Linked DNA regions of Drosophila melanogaster. The protein of the gene in region 2 purifies or fractionates together with the protein of the main gene of each other region. This does not show direct contact. Each region holds a gene or a part of one and is shown on either strand. Other genes may lie near its edges.

Region 1 (4,764 bases), 7.9 Mb from region 2:
ACTTAACCAGACTGCCGGCACCGCTGGCCGCATCCGTTGCACTGCCATCGGTGATGGCCAGCGTCTTGTCGCCCGGCGTTTGGGCTCCTGATGCCTTCCTGGCCTCGCCGATCTTCGCCACCTTGTCCAGCACAAGGCCATAGCCATCCTTCGCCTTGATGGAACGTCGCAACTTCTCTCTGTTTAACGAAAAACACAAATTAACAATGCGTAAGTTGCAAACTACAGGTATACTCACAAACGTTCGTCGATTTCGGGCAGATTTCCCTGGTTGGAGACGAACAGATCGTGGGTGCGCTTCAGGGAGCGGAATATCAGCGTGTGCACGCTGTGCTTCTGCACGTCTTCCATGGCCATTGTCTGTTATTTATTGCTTATTCGCTAAATTTGTTAAAAACGCGGCGCGGCTCTTGCAGCTGACCACCACAAGCCATACATAACAATCGGGCTATCGGTTATCGGACAGTGATGTCTGCTAGCTTGTTTATAGCCAAATGTTAATGCTACATGGGCATCCATTTTTAAAAGAAGTTTTATTAAAATTTTAAATGTATTTAAATGCAAATATCTAATATCTAATTGAAATTGTGTAATTGAATTATCTAATAATTAGAAAAAAATGATTTAACTTTTCACAACCTTAAGTCGAGATGAGAAATTGTGGGTCCTGAATTCAAAGTACCATAAAAGCCACAAAAACTGATAGTTTTTTCAGAATCGTTTTTCGAATACCCATCAAAGTGTTAACTTTATGCGCCCACCCGAGAGATTAAAAAACCAATACGTTGTTCTTTTTTGAAGCACATTTCTGTTTTTTTGTTTTGTTTTGTTTGTGTTTTTTTTCTGCTTATTATTAGTTTGCGGGAACCGGCGATCCAGATGCAAGAGATGAGGACGTGGGAGACACCGATGGTGACGAGGTGCTGGCCGCAGCTCCGCTTTCCGGGACGGGCGATGGCCTCGTGTTGAAGAACTGTTTGATCTGCAGATAAAAGATGGAGTAAAGATTAACCTATGAACTTAAAAACACCGACCACACCAGCCACAATTCTGTCATAAAGCATTATTTTTTTTTACCGCAACTTTGCGCATTTGTATGTTTATATCAGAATGATAAAATGCTTAATACTGTTTCTAATCAAACCCTAAACCACATTGGGAAGTACTTGAAATATTTAGGACTATCTTGACATATGAATAACCTATAAACATTAGCGAATCTAGAATGTTCTGAACATTAATTCAACTAAATCGTTGTTTGAGCCATTGCGTTGGGTTTAAGTTACAATGGTTTGCTAGTCTGATTAAAGATTTAACGAACTTCATTTCGGATTTATGACAGTTTGCTTGAAGGTGCTGCGGTTGGGCAATTGCTTACGATGCGCTTGATGTAGTTGCATGAAGTTTCGTTGTTCGAGCTGGACACCACGTTGTCCACTCGGTACGGCGGCGAGATGGTGACTTCATTTAGGATCTGTATGTTAAGTCCTTGCCAGGAGACTTCATTGTACTACAAAATAGTAAAAGAAATAGCAATGGTTAATGATGATAGGGCATCGTGCAAGAGGTCATTACCCCGTATTGTTTGGCTATCGCTCTATAGAGTTCCTGCGCCTCTGGACTGACATCAGCATTCTTAGACTTCAAGTAGTCCTGTCTTCGCTCAACTGTTTTCCTCAGACGCATTTTGACCTGTATAAGCAATATATATATATATATATATATATTTATGTAAGTGGTCAGAGCTGGCATGCTTACCTGTTCCAGATTAAGCTTTTGCGGATCATCAAAGTTGCCGTTGCACTCCTTGATCACCTGCACGTTGCTGCAGAGCGAGAGGTTCATCGCGTAGATATCACTCAGCTCCTCCGTGGACTTGGATCGGCATTCTATGCGGTTGGAAAGGGAAGAGAAGAGCAGGAACGGGGGGCAAAGATATACGATGTACGGAGAACCAAATTGTCAAGCAGTAAACAATGGGTTTGATAAGAGATAGGTGATATGTGAATGCTATCAGTTAAGATGAGTGTGAATTAGAATTATATACGAATCTAAAGGACAGTGTGACTTTTTGTCCAGACAGCTCAAGAGATCCCTGTGGACAGCCGGAGAAAGTGCTCGCTTTCACCCGGCGGGCAAGTTGTGTGTGTGTGTGGGTATGCATTTCGGGGATTTCGTTGCAAAAGGATACTCAGGATAAGCATCTTTGTGTTGTGATCGAAGGCCAGCACCTCGCCCTCCACCTCCTCGTTGAAACAGGTCGTACAGACGACTGTGGATCCGATGCTGAAGCAGTCGTTCACTGCATTCACTGCGCTCGCAGCGGCAGCGGCCATTTTTAATTGCTGGTTGAGATTGGCCAACTGGAAAAGTGCACCCACAAGCTATGTGGATAGGGGATTCGAATCTAGATCTAAATGTCGATACTGGTTTGTTGGCACGCCGTTGCTTGAACAACGTTTCACAAACAGCGATGGTGATGATGTTGATGATTTTGCGGCAGCAGCAGCTGTTTTGGATGCTTGAATTCCTGGAATTCTCGAAAGGATTTAACTAGCTCTCTCGCTCGCTCTCACTCTCGCCGTCTGTCTGTCTCGTTCTCTCGTGCCGTGCAGCTCACTCGCTTTCACTTGAACCGCTCTAATGGAAATGTCGCTTCCTGGCGATCTGGTCGAGATCCTGCTCCTGCTTCCACTGCCCCTGATCGTCGCGTGAATTGGCCAAAAACTCGCTGGTTACTCGCTCGACTAGCTATCGGCTATCTATTTTGGCGGCAATTGCGGTTCGGTAATTGAAAAGTTGGAAAAGTACGCGAAAAATTTATTGGTCAACACACGAAACAACAGCCAAAAGGGGGCAGCAGAAAACGCAGTGTTGCACATGCCGCGCAGCGATAGGTTCGATAGTCATCGATTACGGAAGTCTGGCAACGTTGCTGCAAACAAATCAAGTGCAATAATAATTTATTGATATTTATTTATATGTGAGTTCGAAAATGAAGACAGATTTTTAAGCTATAAGTGTGAAAATCCAAAGTTGATTGCATACTGAAAAGACAAAAGTAGATAATATTGACTTGTCTAAATGTTGTTGCAATTGAATGTTTCCTTATAAATCGTGCAGATCCTAATCGTTTTACCCCTAATCTCTTGATTAAGTTAAAGGTATTTGCTTAGAGCGGTTTTTCCACTAATAAATTGAAATATTTGGAAAACTTTTATTAAATACTTGTTGTGGCTACCGATAGCATATCGGCGCAACGTTATTTGGTTAAATTCCCGCTCCAGCTAGAGCTGAAAGTATAGGCAAATCCGAATGGGTTTCTCAATTTTTATATATTTAGCGCTATAACTTAATTCTGAGAAAGTAACACATATATTATTGTGCACATCCAATTCCTTGCAAAAATAGAAGTATGCCAGCATTGTTCGTTTTAAGGGAAGCCCTGCGGTTACTTATTTTAAGTCTTCATAAACCATAACCATCGATAGCAAATAAAAAAAAAGAATCGATAGTGTCTCAGAAAGGTACGAATTTCATGCCTCGATTGTAACATCGATAGTTTCACAGCTCCACTTGTGAGCCCAGCTCTAAAACCAAAAAAATTCCCAAGCCATAGTTTGCTTGGGAATTAAGTAAACAAATGGGCGAACCAAGGAGCCAACCACCCGTGGAGCGTCCACCGACCGCGGAAACCTTTCTGCCCCTCAGCCGCGTGCGAACGATCATGAAGAGCTCCATGGACACGGGCTTGATCACCAACGAGGTGCTCTTCCTGATGACCAAGTGCACGGAGCTATTCGTTCGCCATTTGGCGGGCGCGGCATACACGGAGGAATTCGGCCAGCGACCGGGCGAAGCGCTCAAGTACGAGCATCTCTCCCAGGTGGTCAATAAGAACAAGAATCTGGAGTTTCTGCTGCAGATCGTGCCGCAAAAGATCCGTGTACACCAGTTCCAGGAGATGCTGCGGCTAAATCGCTCCGCCGGCAGCGACGACGACGATGACGACGACGATGATGACGATGAAGAAGAGTCCGAATCGGAATCGGAGTCTGATGAATAGACGGTCATGCAGATGTTTATCTACACCGAAATTGAGTGGATGATCTCCATTCACCAAAACATCGACTGATTTTTTACGCCACCTTGCTATCTTTAATTTTAGACTAGACGATAAGTATAAAATTGTTTATAGAACCACTGATTAATAAAGAAGCATAAGAGCACTGCGTCCTCCAAATGACCATAAGATCCGCGGATGATTACCGTGTGTCTGCGGCTGATAAGATTGTTGTTTGAAATCAGAGTAAAGTAGAGCATAGTCAACCTCTTTGTGAGTTTACATGATGATCCTGGATATTCCCAGGAGAGAATGTGATCCTTAAGCTGACCTTGAACTAGAACTGCAAAAAAGGATAACCTAACTAGCATGCAAAACATTGATAGACGCGATTTAAAACGTTAAAGAGCATAACATATAATTGCACTTGGATTCGATTGGTACATTTTACTGCGGCTAAGGATAGATAGAGATTGCAGCTCCTAGACCTTCAGGTTGACGCCGGGATAGCCGGTGGCGTTCAGTCCGGTCACCTTGTAGGTGGTGCCAGCTGGAGCGGGCTGATCGAACTTGGCGGCAGTGGTCACGTACAGGATGTCCAAGTTGGGGCCACCGAAGGCGGCGGAGGTAATCTGTTTGGTTGGGAACTTGATCTCAAGCAGAATCTTGCCAGTGCTGCAATGAAGTACGACATTTAACAC
Region 2 (5,236 bases):
GTGGGCTTTTCGCCGTCCGTGCTCGGGTTTTGGCTGATAAAGATCTCCAGTATGGTTTGCGCCCAGTACGATCGATAGGACAGCAAACCCAGATCAGACAATGGTTTCTCCGGCGATCCCGTCTTGCCCTCGAACTTGGACAACTCGTAGCTGAACTCAATGAGCAGCTTGCCGTAGCCCTTGCGCTGATACGGAGGCATTGTGAGAATGCAGGCCACGTTGTAGTCCTCTGTGCTCTCCTTCTCCTTGGAGAAGTACCCTACTATGTGGAAGCCGCGCGAGTCGAACTCTGTCATTACGTAGAAGAGAAACGGATCGGTATCATAGTAGAGTGTCTTGTGGTCGAGAAAGAGTTTGGCAAGCAGGCACAAGTTCTGGGCATACACCTTGTTTTTGCGTCCATCGATTTCAAAGAAGGAAATTGTATGTTTGCGATAGATCTCGTTTCCCGGTGGATGCCTAAGATTGCACTTGGACAGGTGCCTCTCCAGGCACTTCCTGCTCTTCCTGTACTTCAGGCAGAACTCGCAGATGTAGATGCAGGGCATTTGACACAGCTCTTGCGGATAGGGTGAGAAATACCAGGGCTTAATGCGATGCCTGCCCAGCTCGATCATCTCCACGTTCTTCATGCGGGTGACCACGTCGTCCTGGTGCGTAACCATGCTGCCTGATTGCCTCGGCGTGGGCGTCTTGCCATCCTGCGATCCATCACCATCATCATTGGCCGCTCCGCTTATTAAACCGTCGCCGGTCACATGCACGGGCGTAGCCGTGGGTGTCTGCGGAGTTGTAGGATGCGGATGTGACTGCTGCTGTTGACTGGTCAGACTGTGGTGTCCATGGGCCGAGCCTCCGTGGTTTTTTCGCTTGCGATTGATGCGTTTCTGAAGGGCTGCGGCCAGATTGTTGCCATTCACAAGCTCTCCCCCACTGCTTGGTGTTCCGGGTGGAGCCACAGAGTTTGGAATGCCAGCAGGGGGAGGAACACTGCCTGATGCACCAGTAGGAGTCTGGGGGATGGCTGCCAGAGCCCCGGAACCAGGGTGTTGCGGTGATGTAGGCCGAGAAACGCTGCCCGCTAGGGAATGGTGGCGCTGTGGCGTGGTCACTCCAGTGCTGGTGCCTGTTTGTGAGCCGTCTCTCCGCGGAAATTGCACCTTTCGCGTGTACAGATCCTCCTCGTTGACCCACTCGTCCAAGCGCTTGTTGACTGCGGATTGGCAGTTATACTAAATATGCTCCCACTGGACGACTTGGTACTCACAGTCCACATAGTGCACGTAAAACTGCCGGCGCCCATCCAACTCCTTGATGCTCACAATCTCCGCTAGTGGCCAGTCGTCCGTTTTGTGCATCCTGACGGGTAAACGACATCCCTCGGTTAGGGCGGCCTGCAAGTTTGCGGTTAAAACCATTAGAATGAACACCCAAAACACGCCAAGGCGTAGCGGAACCCACCGTTGACTCGCATATGGAGGCCACATCGTCGTCGAACTCATATTTGTGGTTAATTTTCATTTGTTTATATTTTACGCGTTTTTTTTTTCCTAAAACAGCAGTATTGCCAGATAGCGAAACGTAAATAACTATCGACCAATCGATTACCGCCACAGTGAATCAGCGGTTTAAAAATGTTGATGACATGGGCAGTGCTGCGCAGCGTCGCGTCGCCTTTTCAAAGTGCTGCACAACACAACAACAATTCCAGAGAGTTTTTCAATTCGGGTTCGGTATTTTTTCTCATGTGCCTACTGTGCAATTAAACAATTTCGCCCGCTTACAAACAACTGTAACATATTAAGCACAACCGTTCGACTCAATTGCAGTTGCTAGAACTTGAGTGCGCAGTTATGTGCTCCCTTCTTTTCAGTTGCCAAACCAAAAAATAAAAACGCTGAGAAGGTCAGAGAAATGTACACAGGCGTAAATTTGTGTGCGTGTGTGTGGGTGCGTACATTCGTGTGCGCTCGTGTGAGTGCGCAGAAAGTTATACAGCTGTCATCGACTGGCGTATTTATCAATAAATGACTACTGTGATCCGCGGAAAACTTCAGTTACTGGGTAATTGTGACCACAACTGCTGGGCAACTGTGCCGCAGTGCCCCAATGCTGACGAGCTGAGCGGGAAATTGGTGAAAAAGCTGTGTCAAAATGACGTGTTTTGCGATAGTGTTGCCACTGACAACAGCCGCAGGGCTGCCAACTCGATGGGCATATCCCACTAATTAGTTGCAAAACGGGCAGGCAATCTCGTGTTGATTAGTAAGATGCAAGCCTAGAGCAAACGCCGATTTAGCAATCTCAACGGCTTGCCCCTACAAACAACAAACAGCATTTGTCAACCCTGGCACGCAGCGTAGTTAGCAACACTGCTTTTTAGCCAAAAAAAAAAAAAAATAAAAAAAATGAATATGGAAAGAGACCAGTGCTTTTTAAAGAAATTCGAAGTCAGTGGGCCGCAAGGGGTCGCCAAAGACTAAACAGACGCACCTGCTACCACCCACCGCCCCTTGTCGCTCGTCCGCATGACCAGAACAACAACAAATGCTGCAAAACACCCAGTCAGTGGTCCAATGTCTCAGTTTCAGTTTTAGTCTCAACTTCATCCCCATTTCCCAATCAATTGCAGATCCGTGCGCACACATTTCCGTATTCCGGTCTGTTTGCGAGCAATCCGCATCCCCGTGCCCAGGAACCTACGTAAATGCCGCGAGCAAAGGTTTGAGCCGGAGGAGAGCTACTGACGACAGGCCTGTCAAGTGCAGCAGGAGTCCAAACTGATGCGCAATAGGTGGGCTCCCCTGTGCCTCAAACCGTCTGGAAGTCGAGAGGAATCGTTAGGAATCGGCGGAACAGCCTGCAGAGCACTTGCAGTCGCGGTGGCAACCACACGGCGGCTGGGCAGCTGGGCTACCTAGAAACATCGCGAAGAGAAGAAACAGTTTGTAAGCAGTTAATGGGAATGCGAGATATACCCGTTTACTAAAACAAACATTCCCCTCTTCTCACACGCCCTAACAGATTCGAGGAATTCGAATGGCATTTGTTTTTCTCCTTCGTTGCATGCCACCAAACGAAAGAAGATGAACAATGAACAAACGCCGTCATCATCGGACACACCGGCGGATCGTGTGGCATCTGGTGGAGCAGCTGCCAAACTGCCAACGATCATACCGGACACGCCCATCGTCTCGATTGCCGCTGGCACGATGAGCGAGAGCACCACGACGACCACCGTCACCAAAACAACGCCGACGCCGTTCCCACAGGAGCAGCTTATGACCATGATGTCAGACCATGTGGCGAAGGCAGACGCGCAGCTTGACGAGGCCTGTAGGAACCAGGGGGCCAAAGACGAGGACAGCCAAGGAGCGGCACCAGTGGCTGCCAACCATGTAGCCACCAGCGGCAGTAGCAGCAGAGGCAATGACCCCAAGAAGTCATCATCCCCTAGTAATAGCCATAGCTCTGGTAACCACGCAGCCACGGCAGACGCTGCCAAAGGATCCGCAGCAGAAGCAGCAGCAGGAGATACGTCCTTCTCGCAGGTCTTTGCCATGCTAAAGGATTCGCCCAGCGCTGAACTGTCGCGACCAAACCGCAGGGTACTCCAGTACGGAGCCACTGCCAAGGGCAAGACCCAGGACGATCAGAATGTCGGCAAGCGACAGAAGAAGAAAAAGGTAAGTGCGCTCTGGCTGAGTTGCATCTTAAGGTGGAAATATAGTGCATGTTAAGCAGAAACCGAGTTAAGATATTGTTTTATTAAGAAAAAGGTATAGTTATGTTTGTTACTCGCAAAATTTCACATTTGTGTACGTTCTGGAGGCTCCAAAGCTCTATGGTGTTTGGACTCCATATCTTATGCATGGCCAGGCTTGAATAGAGCTCTACCAGGGCGACTAAGTTGAGAAACAACTAAGTAAACGTAAAATTTGAAACTAATTTCGATTTTGGGTGGAATTCCAGTATTGGACAGCAAGTTGTCCGATCTTTACGTTACCACCAAAACCAAGGTATACATAAATTAGATATAAATATTGTTTATTTGCACACTAAGCTATAAACTAAAATAGATTCTTACGCTTGCGGTCCATTAAAGTTGTCGAAAATGAAAATGCCGAAATCCCCTTAAAACATGACCTTTGGAAAAAACTTTAAGTGAGCCGATTACTCACTCACAAACACTGTTTTATCGAAAACCGAATTTTATTAAAAAAAAAATAAATATTGACAGTCAAATTGCATCCCCCTAATGAATACATACTCACATACATACATATATGTATGCGAATAGAAGCCAAAGTACCGTTTACGAAGTTAATGGCAAAGAATTCGAAAATGATGTAGAAATAGACCAAGCATACTGTTATCTCGTTCTGACTGACTGGGATTGTGGCTTTCGAAATAGTGCCGTTACATTTGGTCCCATCAAGTAATCGCCACACAGGAACTTCAATTTCTGATCGCAGTCGGTTTTTTGACCAGCGCCTTCGATAATTATTGAAATCAAGACCCCGAATCGGGCAGAAGGAACGGATAAAACCGCAAAGCGTTTGTTTATCTTATAAAAGCATTGGTGACATCCGCGGCATTAACCACGAAAACTTCTCGCCTATTCCCGTTATTATTTCAGTTATTGTTTTTTTTTTTTTTTTCTGTTTTCTTGTGTTCGTGTGCAACACCATATAGTACACATGTGTGTGCGTATGTAGAGCGTTTACTTACTGGAACCGTGTGCCATTTAATACTTCTATTGCTCTGCGGTCGGTACTTCATCAGTTCGCATAAGGAACTCAGAAGGGCATGTGTTTGGAATAAGTGGAGCTCCGAATTCTTTTGTTTTTTTTTTTTTAGGTTAAGTCGCAGCGATTATTGTTTTACACGCATATGTGTTCGTGTTGATGACCCGAAAAATTGCAAAACTAATTGCCAAATATTGTTCTTCGACGCTTTTGCAGACAAAATACGATACCTGGGAAGATAGCGATTTTAATGATCTGGACGACGCATCATTGAAGAAACTTCTCGAAGAGGCCTACTGGTATCGAAATCCTGGCGACAGGAAGAACAAGAGCGAGCGATTTCTGGTAAGTTTTGGCTCATGTATGTGCAACATATATATGTGTGTATAAATATTTCTGCTTCACGTCTTTTACGCCTGCAGCAAATGCTCAAAAAGGCTGAGTACGACGAAGAGATCTCTTATCGTGCCATCAAATCCTGCCTCACA

What was found.
Region 1: the proteins of tyf (region 2) and Lsm12a purify together in Drosophila melanogaster (affinity purification with western blotting; one study listed by BioGRID). This does not show direct contact.

What each region holds. Positions count from the first base shown.
Region 1 is NC_004354.4:12,016,753-12,021,516, reverse strand, and holds Lsm12a (LSM12 homolog a), read right to left. Parts: upstream 2,878-4,764; 5' UTR 2,337-2,877; coding exon 2,192-2,336; intron 1,890-2,191; coding exon 1,759-1,889; intron 1,693-1,758; coding exon 1,576-1,692; intron 1,511-1,575; coding exon 1,379-1,510; intron 983-1,378; coding exon 854-982; 3' UTR 798-853; downstream 1-797. Other genes in the region: Tango4 (transport and golgi organization 4), read right to left, coding at 1-179, 239-357; Chrac-16 (chromatin accessibility complex 16kD protein), read left to right, coding at 3,644-4,066; regucalcin, read right to left, coding at 4,546-4,738. UniProt on the Drosophila melanogaster protein: Component of the Atx2-tyf activator complex which functions in the circadian pacemaker neurons to activate the TYF-dependent translation of per and maintain 24 hour periodicity in circadian behaviors.
Region 2 is NC_004354.4:4,115,332-4,120,567, forward strand, and holds the start of tyf (twenty-four), read left to right. Parts: upstream 1-2,218; 5' UTR 2,219-2,564; intron 2,565-2,632; 5' UTR 2,633-2,948; intron 2,949-3,024; 5' UTR 3,025-3,086; coding exon 3,087-3,686; intron 3,687-4,382; exon of another isoform or gene 4,383-4,964; coding exon 4,965-5,093; exon of another isoform or gene 5,094-5,109; intron 5,110-5,170; coding exon 5,171-5,236. Other genes in the region: Tip60 (Tat interactive protein 60kDa), read right to left, coding at 1-1,213, 1,268-1,394, 1,462-1,521.